Callithrix jacchus: one gene and its partners. The protein of the gene in region 1 purifies or fractionates together with the protein of each later gene. This does not show direct contact. Links are inferred from orthologs where the notes say so. Each region holds a gene or a part of one and is shown in the gene's direction. Other genes may lie near its edges. The genes, in order: UTP4, WDR43, UTP15 and WDR75.

Evidence for each region.
Region 2: the proteins of UTP4 (region 1) and WDR43 purify together in Homo sapiens (co-immunoprecipitation; 5 studies listed by BioGRID and IntAct, counting the BioPlex papers as one, with this or other methods). This does not show direct contact. The link is inferred for Callithrix jacchus from reciprocal best matches to the Homo sapiens genes UTP4 and WDR43.
Region 3: the proteins of UTP4 (region 1) and UTP15 purify together in Homo sapiens (co-immunoprecipitation; 4 studies listed by BioGRID and IntAct, counting the BioPlex papers as one, with this or other methods). This does not show direct contact. The link is inferred for Callithrix jacchus from reciprocal best matches to the Homo sapiens genes UTP4 and UTP15.
Region 4: the proteins of UTP4 (region 1) and WDR75 purify together in Homo sapiens (co-immunoprecipitation; 3 studies listed by BioGRID and IntAct, counting the BioPlex papers as one, with this or other methods). This does not show direct contact. The link is inferred for Callithrix jacchus from reciprocal best matches to the Homo sapiens genes UTP4 and WDR75.

What each region holds. Positions count from the first base shown.
Region 1 is NC_133521.1:26,716,058-26,719,628, forward strand, and holds part of UTP4 (U3 small nucleolar RNA-associated protein 4 homolog), read left to right. Parts: intron 1-884; coding exon 885-980; intron 981-2,778; coding exon 2,779-2,964; intron 2,965-3,571. UniProt on the Homo sapiens protein: Ribosome biogenesis factor. Involved in nucleolar processing of pre-18S ribosomal RNA. Part of the small subunit (SSU) processome, first precursor of the small eukaryotic ribosomal subunit.
Region 2 is NC_133515.1:86,107,989-86,111,211, reverse strand, and holds the end of WDR43 (WD repeat-containing protein 43), read left to right. Parts: intron 1-927; coding exon 928-977; intron 978-1,078; coding exon 1,079-1,261; 3' UTR 1,262-2,681; downstream 2,682-3,223. UniProt on the Homo sapiens protein: Ribosome biogenesis factor that coordinates hyperactive transcription and ribogenesis. Part of the small subunit (SSU) processome, first precursor of the small eukaryotic ribosomal subunit.
Region 3 is NC_133503.1:137,496,419-137,499,989, reverse strand, and holds part of UTP15 (U3 small nucleolar RNA-associated protein 15 homolog), read left to right. Parts: intron 1-54; coding exon 55-188; intron 189-356; coding exon 357-415; intron 416-909; coding exon 910-1,127; 3' UTR 1,128-3,571. UniProt on the Homo sapiens protein: Ribosome biogenesis factor. Involved in nucleolar processing of pre-18S ribosomal RNA. Required for optimal pre-ribosomal RNA transcription by RNA polymerase I.
Region 4 is NC_133507.1:39,369,450-39,373,020, reverse strand, and holds part of WDR75 (WD repeat-containing protein 75), read left to right. Parts: intron 1-1,029; coding exon 1,030-1,095; intron 1,096-1,948; coding exon 1,949-2,039; intron 2,040-3,571. UniProt on the Homo sapiens protein: Ribosome biogenesis factor. Part of the small subunit (SSU) processome, first precursor of the small eukaryotic ribosomal subunit.

The sequences.
Region 1 (3,571 bases):
TCACTGCATCCTTGACCTCTGGGCTTAAGCAGTCCTCCCACCTCCACCTCCCGAGTAGCTGGGACTGCGGGCCAGCCCCACCACACCTAGCTAATCTTTTTTTTTTTTTTTTCCTTAAGTCCCACTTCATGATTTTGTGTTTTAAGAGATAGGATTTTCCTATGTTGCCCAGGTTGGTCTTGAACTCCTGTACTCAAGCATTCCTTCCACCCTGGCCCTTCCAAAGTGCTGTAGTTATAGGTGTGAGCAACCGTGCCCAACCAATAGGCATTTATTTATTTATTTTTGAGGCTGAGTCTTGCATTGTTGCCCAGGCTGGAGAGCAGTTTTCATAGAGACAGGGTTTCTCCATGAGCTACTGTACTTGGCTGGCGAATAGGCATTTTTAAAGAAAATGAGGCCGAGCATGGTGGCTCATGCCTGTAATCCCAGCACTTGGGGAGGCCAAGACTGGCAGATCACCTGAGGTCAGGAGTTCGATACCAGCTTGCCCAACATGACGAAACCCTATCTCTACTAAAAATATAAAAAATTAGCCAGGGGTGGTGGCGAGCTTCTGCAATCCCAGCTACTCGGGAGGCTGAGGGAAGAGAATCACTTGAATCCAGGAGGAGAATCGCTTGAGCCTGGGAGGTGGAGGTTGCAGTGAGCTGAGATCATACCACTGCGCTCCAGCCTGGATGATAAGAGTGAAACTCTGTCTCCAAAAGAAAAAGAGAAAAGAAATTAAAGTTCATTGGTTGGGGAAATGCCTGAAATTTTGGGGGAACTTTCATAGAACCCTTTTGAGTTCCAAGGAGCACTACTTAAACTCCTGACCTAGACAACTCAGTCTTTGCTGAGGAAAAGTGTCACTTAGAGTTGTGTGTGTTATTTGTTCCCAGCTTCACTGCACGGTGCCTGCTTACAATTTTCCGGTGACTGCTATGGCCGTTGCCCCCAATACCAACAACCTTGTCATCGCTTATTCTGACCAGCAGGTAAGGGAGATTCCAATGCTTTCTAATCCCTTCCTTCTGGATAGTAACCTGGAAGCTGGGATATTGGGCAGTTGAGGGGAGCTTTTCTTTGAAGGTGCTGGAGGAGAAAGGTAGTTTTCTCCTGTGTGAAGTAAAGCTTCCTTGCCTGTCTGGGTTCATCATAGGCCAGCATTATCCATTGGTTTGATGGGATGCAGTTTAAATGGAGAAGTACTAAGATTCAAGAGTGAAGAATCGTAAGAGAGGGGAGGAATTTTGAAGAACTCATTTTCCTGATTATGCTAGAGCAGAGATGACATGGGCTTGGGTGTTAAACTCGATATGGAATGGTATAAAATTTTGAGAGTTGAAAGTGACTAAAAGATTGTATTATTCACCTTTACCCTTGCAGATGAGGAAATCAAGCCCTAGTAAGATAAGTACCTAATCTCAGCCAAAGTTAGAACCAAATCTGCCTTTTTCCTTACCAATTTGTAAGGAGATTGTAATTATAAAGAGATTTTTTTCCTCTGGGGTTTTTTTTCTTTGTTTGTTTGTTTTTGGTATTTTTGGTAGAGATGGGGTTATGCCATGTTGGGCCAGCCTGGTCTCAAACTCCTGACCTCAGGTGATCCACCCGCTCGGCCTCCCAAAGTGCTGGGATTATAGGCATGAGCCACTGCTCCCAGCCTATAAAGATATCTTTAAAAAAAAAAACAAAAACCTTGACTGTAGAACACATTAGGAAGTTATCAATTATTCTATGTCTTTATCTGTAAAATTGGAGATTATATCTACCTCACTGAGATTAAATGTAATTTTGGAAGCACATTTAAGTAGACTGCTAGGCAAACGATGCTTACTGTTTTGATGGTCAGTTTTTACACTAACACATACACACTGTCCAAAAAGTGAAATCTTTGTTTTATAGACTTGAGTCTTGATCAAAGACTGAAAGAGTAGTGAAGCCACATCTTTGCCTTTGTCACACATAATGATAATGTTTACTCCAATACCTTTTACTGGCATTTGGTCCCTTAAGTGCTTCTAAAAGTAAAACTGATGGGAAATTTTTTATATCCATTAGATTAGCAAAGATCAAAGAGTTGATAATACTCAGTGTTGTGAGGGTATAGGAAAATAGTACTCTCACACGTTGTGTAAATTATCCTAACCCTTTTGGAGGACATTTTGGCAATACCTTAAAAATTTTAAAGTCCACTAATCTTTGACTTAGAAATTTCATTTCCAAGAGTTTTATATATATATATATATATATATATATATTTTTTTTTTTTTTCAGCTATGCAAAAAAGACTTCTATACAGAGACCAGTTCATTGCAGCTTTGTTTATAGTAGACAAAGATATGAAACAAGATAATGTCCATTAAGTAGAGTGGATAAGTAAATCATGATGCATAAAATGAGTGGACTACTGTATGTTTCGGAATGGGCATGACTGATGTGTATGTGTATATTGATGTGGGTCAGTCTCCATGATATAATACTAAGCAAGAAGAAGCAAGATACAGAACACTACATATTATATGCATAAAATAGCTCTGAAAAGATGTAAACATGAAATTGAGGGTTGCTCTTGTCTTAGAAAAGAGGAATGTCAAGATTGCAGGATGACTTTTATTGTTCTATAATTTCCCTTCTAAAATTTTTCATTAAAAAAAGTGGTGGGAGAGCATAGACTGAATAAACTGAATACAGTTGAAGGTTTGTATAGATACTTTCTGGTTAGGAAGGAGAATTCCCTTCTGGTCTTCCTGGGTACCAGCCTGCATTCCTCTGTGTCATGTCCTTTCTCAGGTATTTGAGTACAGCATCCCAGACAAACACTATACAGACTGGAGCCGGACTGTCCAGAAGCACGGCTTTCACCACCTTTGGCTCCAAAGGGATACTCCTATCACACATATCAGTTTTCATCCAAAGAGACCGATGCACATTCTTCTCCATGATGCCTACATGTTCTGCATCATTGACAAGTCATTGGTGAGTTCTTCACTGCTACCTCACCAAATCTTCTTCTGAAACTTCACGTTCTAAAAGCAACAAGTACAATAAAATAGAGGAAGGACAATCAGAATAAAGGTAGCTAGTAAATCAGAATAAAGGTAGCTAGTACATTCCTTGGAGAAGAGGGGGTTTTGTTTTACAGACTCCCTGATTTGTGTTCCCACAGTTCTTCAGGAGGATCTCAGGGAAGGGGCTGGCCTTTGTGTACTGGCTTTTGCTGATTTGACTATTTCTCTGCTTTGCCAATGAGCATGTACATCTTACATACAAAAGTGATTAGGTCAATATTCAGAAGGTAACCTTCATCAGGAAGTTTCATTGATTTGGCTGATTCTCTTTGGACTTTGAACCCTGGGGTATCTGAATAACATGGTTTCTAAAGGAGGTAACAGGCTGAGGTTTTGACCTCTATGCCCCTTGGCTGAAGATGCTGAAATACTGTCTGCAGGCTTGAAGAACTGGTCTTAACATCTCCAAAAAACCCAGCTAGGAAAAATCTTCATGGCTGTGACATAGATGGGATAGGAGCATTTTCTTCAGTTTTAGATTCCAGCCTCTCTTTGCCAGCTGCTGTTTTGATTCA
Region 2 (3,223 bases), on another chromosome or scaffold:
CATTATCAGTACTTTATGGGTTAAAATTCATGCTAATTCTTCTATTTCATTTATAAGCCAGCTTTTCTCTGTTGAATTTTTCCTCATCACTGGGGCTATTTGGTAGCCCTGATACAGTGTAGTATTTTAAGATGAGATTTTTGTAAGGGTTTTGCTAATTAATTTGTCCCAGTAAGATCTTGAAGGAATAATATAATGATATGCTTTTATACATATAAGAATAAAGTAGCCAGGTGTGGTGGCTCACGCCTATAATCCTAGCACTTCCTTGGGGTGGAGGTGAGCCGATCCTTTGAGTCCAGGAGTTCGAGATCAGCCTGGGCAACATGGCAAAACCCCCTCTTCTACCAAAAATTATCTGGGTGTGGCGGCTACTCAGGATGCTGAGGCAGGAACCTGAGGCTTGAACCTGGGAGGCAGAGGTTACAGTGAGCCAAGATCTCTCCACTGCACTCCAGCCTGCAACAACAACAACAACAAAAGTTATGGCTTAATTGGATGATTGCTAAATATAAATAATATTTCTGGCCAGGCACAGGGGCTCCTGCCTGTAATCCCAGCACTTTGGGAGGCTGAGGCAGCCGGATCATGAAGTCAAGAGATTGAGACCATCCTGACCAACATGGTGAAACACCGTCTCTCCTAAAAATACTAAAAAATTAGCTGGGCATGGTGGTGCATGCCTGTATTCCCAGCTACTCAGGAAGCTGAGGCAGGAGAATTTCTTGAAACCAGAAAATGTAGGTTGCATTGAGCCGGATTGCGCCACTGCACTCCAGCCTAGCGATAGAGGGAGACTGTCTAAAATAATAATAATAATGCTTTTTTCTTTCTAAAGTACATTCAGGAATCTGGTTCTTTTTAATTTCCAGGCTATACCCTCTGTTTTGTGTTAAAATTAGGCTGGGTTTTTTTCTCCCCTTACAGAATCTTCTGAAGAGGAGTCTGACGATGAAATAGCAGATAAGGATTCTGATGTGAGTGATTCATTCCCTGGTATATACATTGGCCTTTGTATACTCATACTTTGTAAGAATGAGGCCTTCACGAATGCTTTCCCTGTTGGTATTTCTACTAGGATAATTGGGATGAAGATGAGGAGGAGAGTGAAAGTGAAAAAGATGAGGATGATGCTGAAGATGAAGATGAGGATGCCGAAGGAAAAGATGAAGAAAATGGTGAGGACAGAGATAGAGCAAGTGAAAAAGAACTAAATGGAGATTCTGACTTAGATCCTGAAAATGAAAGTGAAGAAGAATGAAGACAGCAAAGCAAGCCAGTCAAACTATAAAACTCTGGCTCACCTTGCCCAGTGGTGAGGGTTGCCTCTGTGCCAGGATGCCAAGGACCGCTGCGCATTTCCAAATTCACAGCAGTGGATTCTACGCCACCTTACTGTCCTGAGCACCCCAGACTTAACTGTGTAAATAAAGTGTTTCATTCAGATGTTAATAAACTTTACACAGTATATAGACACATTTTCTGCAATGTACTGACATCAGTGTCCAATATATGGTATATTTTTATAATATAATATCCTAGTAAGATTGGTTATATCAGGAATTGACTTACGTGCAGATAAAGACCTTTCCCATAGGAGTTGAAGAACTGGACAGTTGTGAAGGAGTCAGCTCTTATCTCAGGTTGGTGTCTTTCATCAAATCCAGATGCAAAGCAGCACTAGTGAAAATTTTTTTAATTTAGTACATTTAATTTGGTACATTTTCATAAAATACAAAGGGATAACTAAAAACCGGAGTAAAAATGATTGTATTTAAAAAAAAGTCATCAATATCTCTAGCTTCTCTATTAACTGTGATAATCTGATTTGAGTCAGATTGAATATTTGAAGTGCTTCCCCAAAATAACCACTTATTTTTTAAGCTGTCATGTGAAGTATTTTTTTAAGACAGAAATTATGATAACTGAAAAACTAGAGAAGTAGCCATATTACGGAGTTTTCTTGTCTGCAGATTGCTTGTAAAGAATCATCAGTGTATAGATTAGAAGAGCTCATTACCTGCAACTTTTTAAAAAATTCAGTTATAGCTGCTTTTGAAGAGGTTTTCATTTTTATTTAAATTACTAATGGATCAAAGAGCAATTGTTTATTTTTTCTCTTTGGTTTTAGATATTAATGATAACCTTGCTGGAATTTTTTTCCAAAGAAAATATTTTTATAATTAAATAATTTAATGTTTTTCTTCCTTTTCATTACCTACTCTTGGCAGTGTTAGGGTATCTGTTTACCTTTAAAATGATAATATCACTTAAGATTTTTTATGTATGTACAAATAAGTATTTTGGTGTGCTACAAAAGCCTTTGCAAATTATCAGTAGTTTTTTTTTTTTTTTTGTTAAAGAATGAGCGGATACCGGCTTAGTGCTCACTAGGGGACATGCAGATGGAGGCTCACCTCTAAGAAAGGGCTGGGCAGATGGATCTATTTTTTCCCACCTGTGAATATGTAAAACAAAACCATTATCTTTGAGGGACTCTTTAATATTAGTGGCAGAACAGAAATTTGTGTGCTCAACTTAAGAGCCAGAGCCATATAAACATCTTGGGAAAGCAAGTTTGAACCAGCTACTGGTGTAATGTACAGTTTTGTCTATAAATGGAGCTGTTTATGGCAATTTAATACCATTTTCTTTGTAAAGTGAATAAATATTCATCTTTACCCAGTGCTTGTCTTGTGGTATATGTAGAGGAATACAGCCACATGTTTGGGCTTGTGGTGTGAAGGTTTTTAAAAAGCAGTTTCACTCCCCTGGCATTAAATAGGTAAGTGCTTTCAAAGCTTGTGGATAACCTAGAATTTGCAATGAGGTGACAGAACGAAGACATTTGTGTTAGTCTAGTGTCAGCTGTAGCTGGTTGATGCTCATGCATTCCCACTTGGCTGGGTTGTGACTTCACAACCCAGGGCTGCAGTGACAGTAAAGGAAGAGGCACGTGCTGATCAGTGAAATCCTGTATTGGTAACCAACACCTGGCTTACGAGTCCGGTTCCCTTATACCTGACTCGACTTAAAGAAGTAAATAATGACACCTATGTGGTAATTTCTAATTATTTTGTTGGTTTAGAAAAATCCAGAGTGAAATTAGACTTGTTGCAAAAAGAATCTTGTATTTTTAGAGTATTTCATTGTCTTTTTCCACTCCTAAGCCATGCAACAAAGTTTGTGTGTTTTCTTTTTTGAGATTAATTTTTCTTCCCAA
Region 3 (3,571 bases), on another chromosome or scaffold:
ATGATATTTTTTTGTGCTGTTTTGTCTGCTCATGTTGACTGAAAATTTTTCTAGCCTACTTGTGCAATAAAGACACCCGAGATTACAGTGTCCATCATAAAGGAGTTAAATCGAAGAGGAGTCCTCGCAAATGCCCTTGCAGGTCGAGATGAAAAGGAAGTCAGTCGTGTTCTTAATTTTTTGATAAGGTATGTTTTATGTCTGTGAAACACTTTTATTTTGCATCTGAAATCCTTTATCACCAAATGAAAGACATATTTAGTTTGATCCTTGTAGAGAACTGAAGAAACAAATCTGTTTTAAGGATTTTTTGTTTAAGTTTACAAGTTTTACTAAATTGAATTTTTACTTTGTAGGAATCTTTCTCAGCCAAGATTTGCCCCTGTTTTAATCAATGCTGCTGAAATAATTATTGGTAAGTAGTTGTTAAAACTTGAAAATCCTAACATGCTTGCAAAAGTAGAGATGTCAAAGAATCAGATTTGGAAATCAGGTAGATCAAAATATCTTGCTTTTATTAATTCTCAATATGGATTTTCATGGAGAAAACAACAAGTCAAAGCAGTTTAAAATGTAAGATGTTTACAGTGGCATGACTTGGAATTGATGGGACTGGGGTTATTACAAAAAAAAATTTTGTTTTCATAGACATCTGTAATCACCATGACAATTTTTCAAATGGGAAAATGAAAATAAGTCAGAACTTCCACCCTATATTTTCTGTAATTATTGTTTTTTGAAATAAATTTACTCAGAGGGATCATTATACTTTCTATAAATCATTAATTATAACATAAGTACAGATTTTTCAGTGTTTTTATGGTATTTTTATACTTTTAAGAACTTTGTTTTTCACTTAATGAATAGAAAGATATTGCTAGTTAATGTGTTTTCTTTCTCTCTTTTTAGATATATATCTGCCTGTGATTGGTCAGTCCCCTGTAGTTGATAAAAAGTTTTTGCTACTTCAAGGACTTGTAGAAAAAGAGATTGATTACCAAAGAGAATTGTTAGAAACCTTGGGGATGATGGATATGCTTTTTGCCACCATGAGAGGGAAGGAAGGCACTTCTGTGTTGGAACATACATCTGATGGATTTCCAGAGAATAAGAAGATAGAATCATAGTGTCTGCTAAATAAGGCATTTAAGAACTCTGAAGTTGGAATAGATTTGCCTCTATTAAATGTTGGAAAGAGACTCTCTTTGATACTTATAAAAACTATTTACAGAAGCAGTTCTGTAGAAGAGACTGGAACAATTGTGGTCGGAAAACAAGTACCTGTTTTAAGTAAGACATGGTTTTCCATGTGCTGTTTTGAATTATTTTATAGCATCTTCACCTAGAAGATCTCAATTGTCTTGGACACAGAGTAGGTTTATGTGGGTTGAGTTGATAATAATTTTAGTACAGGAGTATTCTGTATCAACATTTGGATTGGTATTCAGATGGGAATTCAAATATGAATCCTCTCTGGAGAGGATCCAACTGGGAATCCTGCTAAAGGAACACAGCCTTGTATTACTTCTGGAAAACAACAACAAAAACAGACGGCAACAACAAAAAGCCTCTTTCTTGACGCTAATCAGTGCCTTTGGGATTTCTAGGCCCTTGTGTAGCTTGCTTCCTCTCTCCTTGATGTCGACACTTGTCTTAGATCACATGCCCTGCTTCAGCCGGTAATGGGAGTGCAGCTGTTCCAAGTGTGGCAAGTTAAGTGGTCAGCTCTGAAGGACTGATACTAGCCAGATTTGTATTCAGTGTGAGAGCAAGGTCTAGAGATAGACCTGATTGGTCTATCTACCTCTTGGTTTTTCTTTCTTCTCTTCATGCAGCCTTTCTAACAAGTTTTCACCTTGTTTCAGGTCAGAGGAATGATAGAATTTGTCATTTTTCTTATAATAAAGAGCCTTTCAAACTAGTTTTCATATGTTTTGAGCTTATCTTATAGCTACCTAATCCTCTGAAAAGTATTTTCTCTGATTTGTATTTAGATTTTCCCCCCATTCTTCACAATCATATTGTGTTGTAGAACCCCAATCCAGAGCAGTTTGCTTTGAAATATAGTTGTTTTTGAAAGTTTAAATATTATTTTTTAGAATTTTTGTTTTTGAAAGAGTCTCGCTCTATTGCCGGAATGCAGTAGAGAAGTGCTGTGGCGCAGTCTCGGCTCACGGCAACCTCTGCCTCCCAGGTTCAAGCGGTTCTCCTGCCTCAGCCTTCTGAGTAGCTGGGATTACAGGTGTGTGCCACCATGCCTGGCTAGTTTTTGTACTTTTAGTAGAGACAGGGTTTCACCATACTGGCCAAGCTGGTCTCGAACTCCTGACCTCAAGTGATCCACCTGCCTAGTCCTCCCAAAGTGCAGGGATTACAGGCATGAACCACGGTGCCCAGCCTGTAAATATTATTATTATTTTATAAAGACATTCTTATTTTCTTGGCTTTTTGATGTATCCATTCTGGATGGATAATTGTTGGCTAGTAACTTCTAGTACACTGATTTCATAGTTGCTACCTCTCCTAACTTTCTCTAATTCTTGTCCCAACTCAAGTAGTTAAAAATCAGTAAGAAAAATGTCTTGAGCTAGAAGAACCTGTAGAGGAAGATTTTGTAATGTGAATCTGCTTTCATAATTTTAGTTTGGTAAATTCAGGGTTTTTTTAAGCAGAAAAAATACTTAATATGTTCTAGTAAGGTTATTAAGTAAAAATTAAACATTAATATTTAGGCTAACATTAACATTTAAATTAATATACTAAGTGAATATACTTAGTATGTTCTACTACGGGTATACTCAGAAATAGGGCCAGTTTCCCTTTCATGAACCGATTTCAGCAATCATACAGCACAGTGGCCTGTAAGGAACCAGCAGTGTGTTTCTCTGCATAATTATGAATTTAGTCAAGATCAGAAGCTGTGTTTTGGGGTTAATAAGGGTTAATTTATTTAAATAAAGTTTCTATTTAAAAACCTTTTTAAAACATTAACGCCATAAATATTCTGATAATTTGCATAGTAGTAAAAATTAGGAGTTGAAATTCTACCTAAAGCTGTATTTGCCATCAATTTTGTAACATGGCAGAGGCTTTCTCACACGTCATTTCATTTGATTCTCACCATCCGAGATTGATATTATTTTCATTTAACATTGAGTTAACTAAAGTAGTCGATTCACTCTCCAAGTCCCTGAGTGTGAGCTCTTCATCCTAGCACTGTGAAATAGTTTGCCTGCTGCGGCCTAAACTACTCATTCCCTTGAACAAAACTTCAGAGTGCTGCAGTTCTCAAAATATGTCACAGATACACATTTTCAAAAAGGTTAGGAAGCAGTACCCATAGCCATCAATACTTAAATTCAGGAGTACTTTTTGTTGTGTTTTGTTTTGTTTTTAGAGACAAGGTCTCATTCTGTTGCCCAGGCTGGAGTGTAGTGGTGCGATCATAGCTCACTGCAGCTTAGGCCTCCTAGGCTGAAGCTATCCTCCCACCTCAGCCTCCTGAGAAGCTGAGACTACAGGCATGAGCTACCATGCCTGGCTAATTTTTTATTTTGATTTTTTGAGAGAA
Region 4 (3,571 bases), on another chromosome or scaffold:
ACTCCAACATTTTAAAATTTCTCTGTCTCTATTTGCAGAAACCCTAAAATTGCCACTTTCTTTAAAAATATTAAAATTCTTTGTAAACATTATAAGCAGAGTACTTTCCTGTAACGACAAAAACAAAAAATCTAGTGGAAACTTAATAAAACTAAGTGCACTAGGACAAAAATTAAGCTATGTGTTACTAAGGTCTTCTGGTGCTACCAAAGTATGGTCCACAGTCCAGCATCTTAAACTGTTAGTTACCATTCTGTATGACAGTACAGTAAGTGAGTGTCACAAAACACTTTGACATTGCCACAGCATCCTAGCACATTGTAATTTCTATTGTATTTTATGAAAGTATTGGTCCTTGATGGATTGGAAAAAATTTTTTTTACACAGAATCTTCTTAATCACTTGAGAAGCAATCTTAATACTGATAAGTTGAAAGGAGTTTGGCTAATAAAACTGAGTTCCGGCAAAAAGAGCAATAAGCTGTTAAATACTTTTTTTTCGTTTGAGTCTTACACTGCTGCCCAGGCTGGAGTACAGCGATGTGATCTCAGCTCACTGCACTCACAGCTTCCCAAGTAGCTGGGATTACAGGATATGCCACCACACCTGGCTGATTTTTGTGTTTTCACTAGAAATGGAGTTTCACCATATTGGCCAGTCTGGTCTCGAACTCCTGGCCTCAAGTGATACACCTACCTGAGCGTCCCAAAGTGCTGAGATTATAGGTGGGACCCACTGTACCTAGGTGCTTTACATATCTCATTCACAACCTTACCATCTCACTCTTCAAGATAGAAGGTTGACTTTTTTCCTCTCTCTTTTAGTGGAAACTTGAAATGGATGGGTCTGCTTCTTGCAGAGAACTGTGAAAAGATTGTTTCACAGAAGCAATATAAATGACTCTACCTCTTTAAGGTTGACAGTGAAATAATGCATAGAAAATGCCCCTGATCAGCTTTTAATTATTTGTTTGATATCTTGATGAATTTCCTTTTTTTAAATCAGTTTTGTACTGTTTTACCCTTTTAGCTATATTCTTGTTCCCTTGATGGCACAATTAAACTGTGGGACTATATAGATGGCATCTTAATAAAGGTATGTGGATTGATCTTTATTTTTCCTTATGTGAAAATAAAAGGCAATGTAATATAATGGTAGATGTACTGTTTCAAATATTTAAATCGATTTCCTAAACAAATTACAGAATGACATCAAAAAAAAATTGACTACATAAACATTTTCCACTTACAAAAAGACAAGTTAAAGCTGGGAGAAAATATCTACAGAAAATATTATTCCAAATATACAAAAATATTCCCAAAAACCAATAAGGAAAAACTAATAGCCTTGTAGGAGAAATTTGCATAAAGTAGGAATATGTAAATTCAAAGAAAAAGAAATACAAGTAGCCAGTAAATATGAAGAGATGTTTAAACTCATTAACAAAGAAACAGAAATTTTAAAAAATGATATAGTATTTCCCCATAAGTTCAGCCAAATTGTAGATTGAAAAAAATCTAGTGATAGGTAAAGAATAGAGAAACCGGTACTTTGTACACAATGAGAGCTAAAACTAAAATTAGTAAACACATTTTGTTCCAGCAGCCTAACCTCTAAGAATCCCTTGTTAAAATAATGGCCTGTACATGTAGTCCTTACAACACTGTTTATGGCAGGAAAAAAGTTAAATATGACCTTGATGTCAGTTAAAATTATGATACATTTATTCAGTACAATACTATACAGCCATTAAAAAGAATCAGATCTGTATGTAGGAAACTTGAGAGGGTATTTAACAAATACGAAGCAGTTGTCTTCTGTAGGCCCGGTACTCTCCTTATGTTGGGAATACAGCAATGAGCAAAATATGAAAATCCCTGCCCTAATGGATCTTAGGTTCTACTGGAGGGACCAGACAGTAAACACTATGGTGCTCTTTATCTTTCAGACTTTCATAGTTGGATGTAAACTTCATTCCCTGTTTACCGTTGCCCAAACTGAGGATTCTGTCTTTGTTACAGTAAATAAAGAAAAACCAGGTATAGTATAATTACTTACTATATATGGCATTGAGTGGCTCTTTACATTTTACAGTTCCTCAAAATATAACATTTGATTTTAATCTAAAGCTAACAGTTTTTAGAGTGGGCACTTAAATTGCTTTGTCATTATTGTGTTTATTTGGAGAGGCTTTGTATGAGTTCTGAAATATGCAGTGAAGGAAGGATTATTTTCTATGTGGTTGTAATACTAGACTGCAAAGTTCAAATTTTAAACCTGCTTTGCAAAGGTGAATAGAATTTGTTTTCCTACTGAACTTAAATCTGTTATTCTTAAGCATCACTATCATTGTATCCATCATTGAACACTTCTTACTCTCTTGAGTAAGGGTAGGAAATGGCAAAGAAAATTGGTTGGTATTAAGAATAATAGTGTGACTAAGTTATTAATTACATTTTCACTGTCTTTGAAACATTGGTCCATTGAAACTGCCATGCATCAGCATTGTAGGAATTCCTGGAATATTATCAGTGATGACATAATTGTCCTTTATCATAGAATTTAATAAAACAGAACAGTGACATGAGGACACATCTAAAGAAATTTTCTGATCCCCAAATTCAAGAATGCCACCATACTCTGTGGTATCCTCCATGAAATATAGTTCTGTTCAGAATGAAGAATATAAGCAGCTTTAAGATGGTTAGTGGGGCCGGGCATGATGGCTCACACCTGTAATCCCAGTGCTTTGGGAGCCCAAGGTAGGAGGAATGCTTGAGGTCAAGAGTTTGAGACCAGCCTAGGCAACATATACCACAACCCTGTCTCTAAAAAGAAAAATAAGTTAGACATGGTGGCTATAGTCCTAGCTACTCAGAGGCTGAGGTGGGAGGATCAGTAAACCACCTCCAAAGCACATTTCAAAAAGTGTTCTATATGTGGCAACATTCTTAAAAATAATTAAGTCATCTTGCCAGATGACTGCTTCAAACATAGCAGTCTTTTTAATGTTTAATTTCAGTTTTGTTTATTGAATATGTAGATTCTTGGTATCGGTTCACATATTTATGAAACATTCAGATTCCTACTCTTCCTGACTGGCAGTTGATCACTAGGTTTGGGGTATACCTTAGGAATCTGCGTTTTTAATATCATCCCAAGTGATTCTGCTCATCGCTCATGTTTGGTAACAGCCTCCTATACTCACTCCATGATTCCTCAGTTGGAAAGTAGTTGCCAGTAGCTCTAGCAAAACTTTTATCCATGATTCTAAACACCAGCTACACATAGGAATCATGCAAAGAACTGAAGTAATAAGATTCTATATGCTGGGGCCTAGTTGTTTACTGAAAAAATTTTCCAGTTGTGTCTAATATGCAAGACAGGGTGGAAAACTACTGATCTAAAGTAAAGATCTTGTGTTGTAATCTAAATTCGTCTCATAAGGAGATCTATTATTAGTCTTCAGAACTTGGCATGTAATGGGCACCCAGCATATGAAAATCTGGATTGCTGCTACATAAATGTCAGTCAGGCTTGAAAAGTTCCCCTGTGCTAGCTGCCTTGCTTA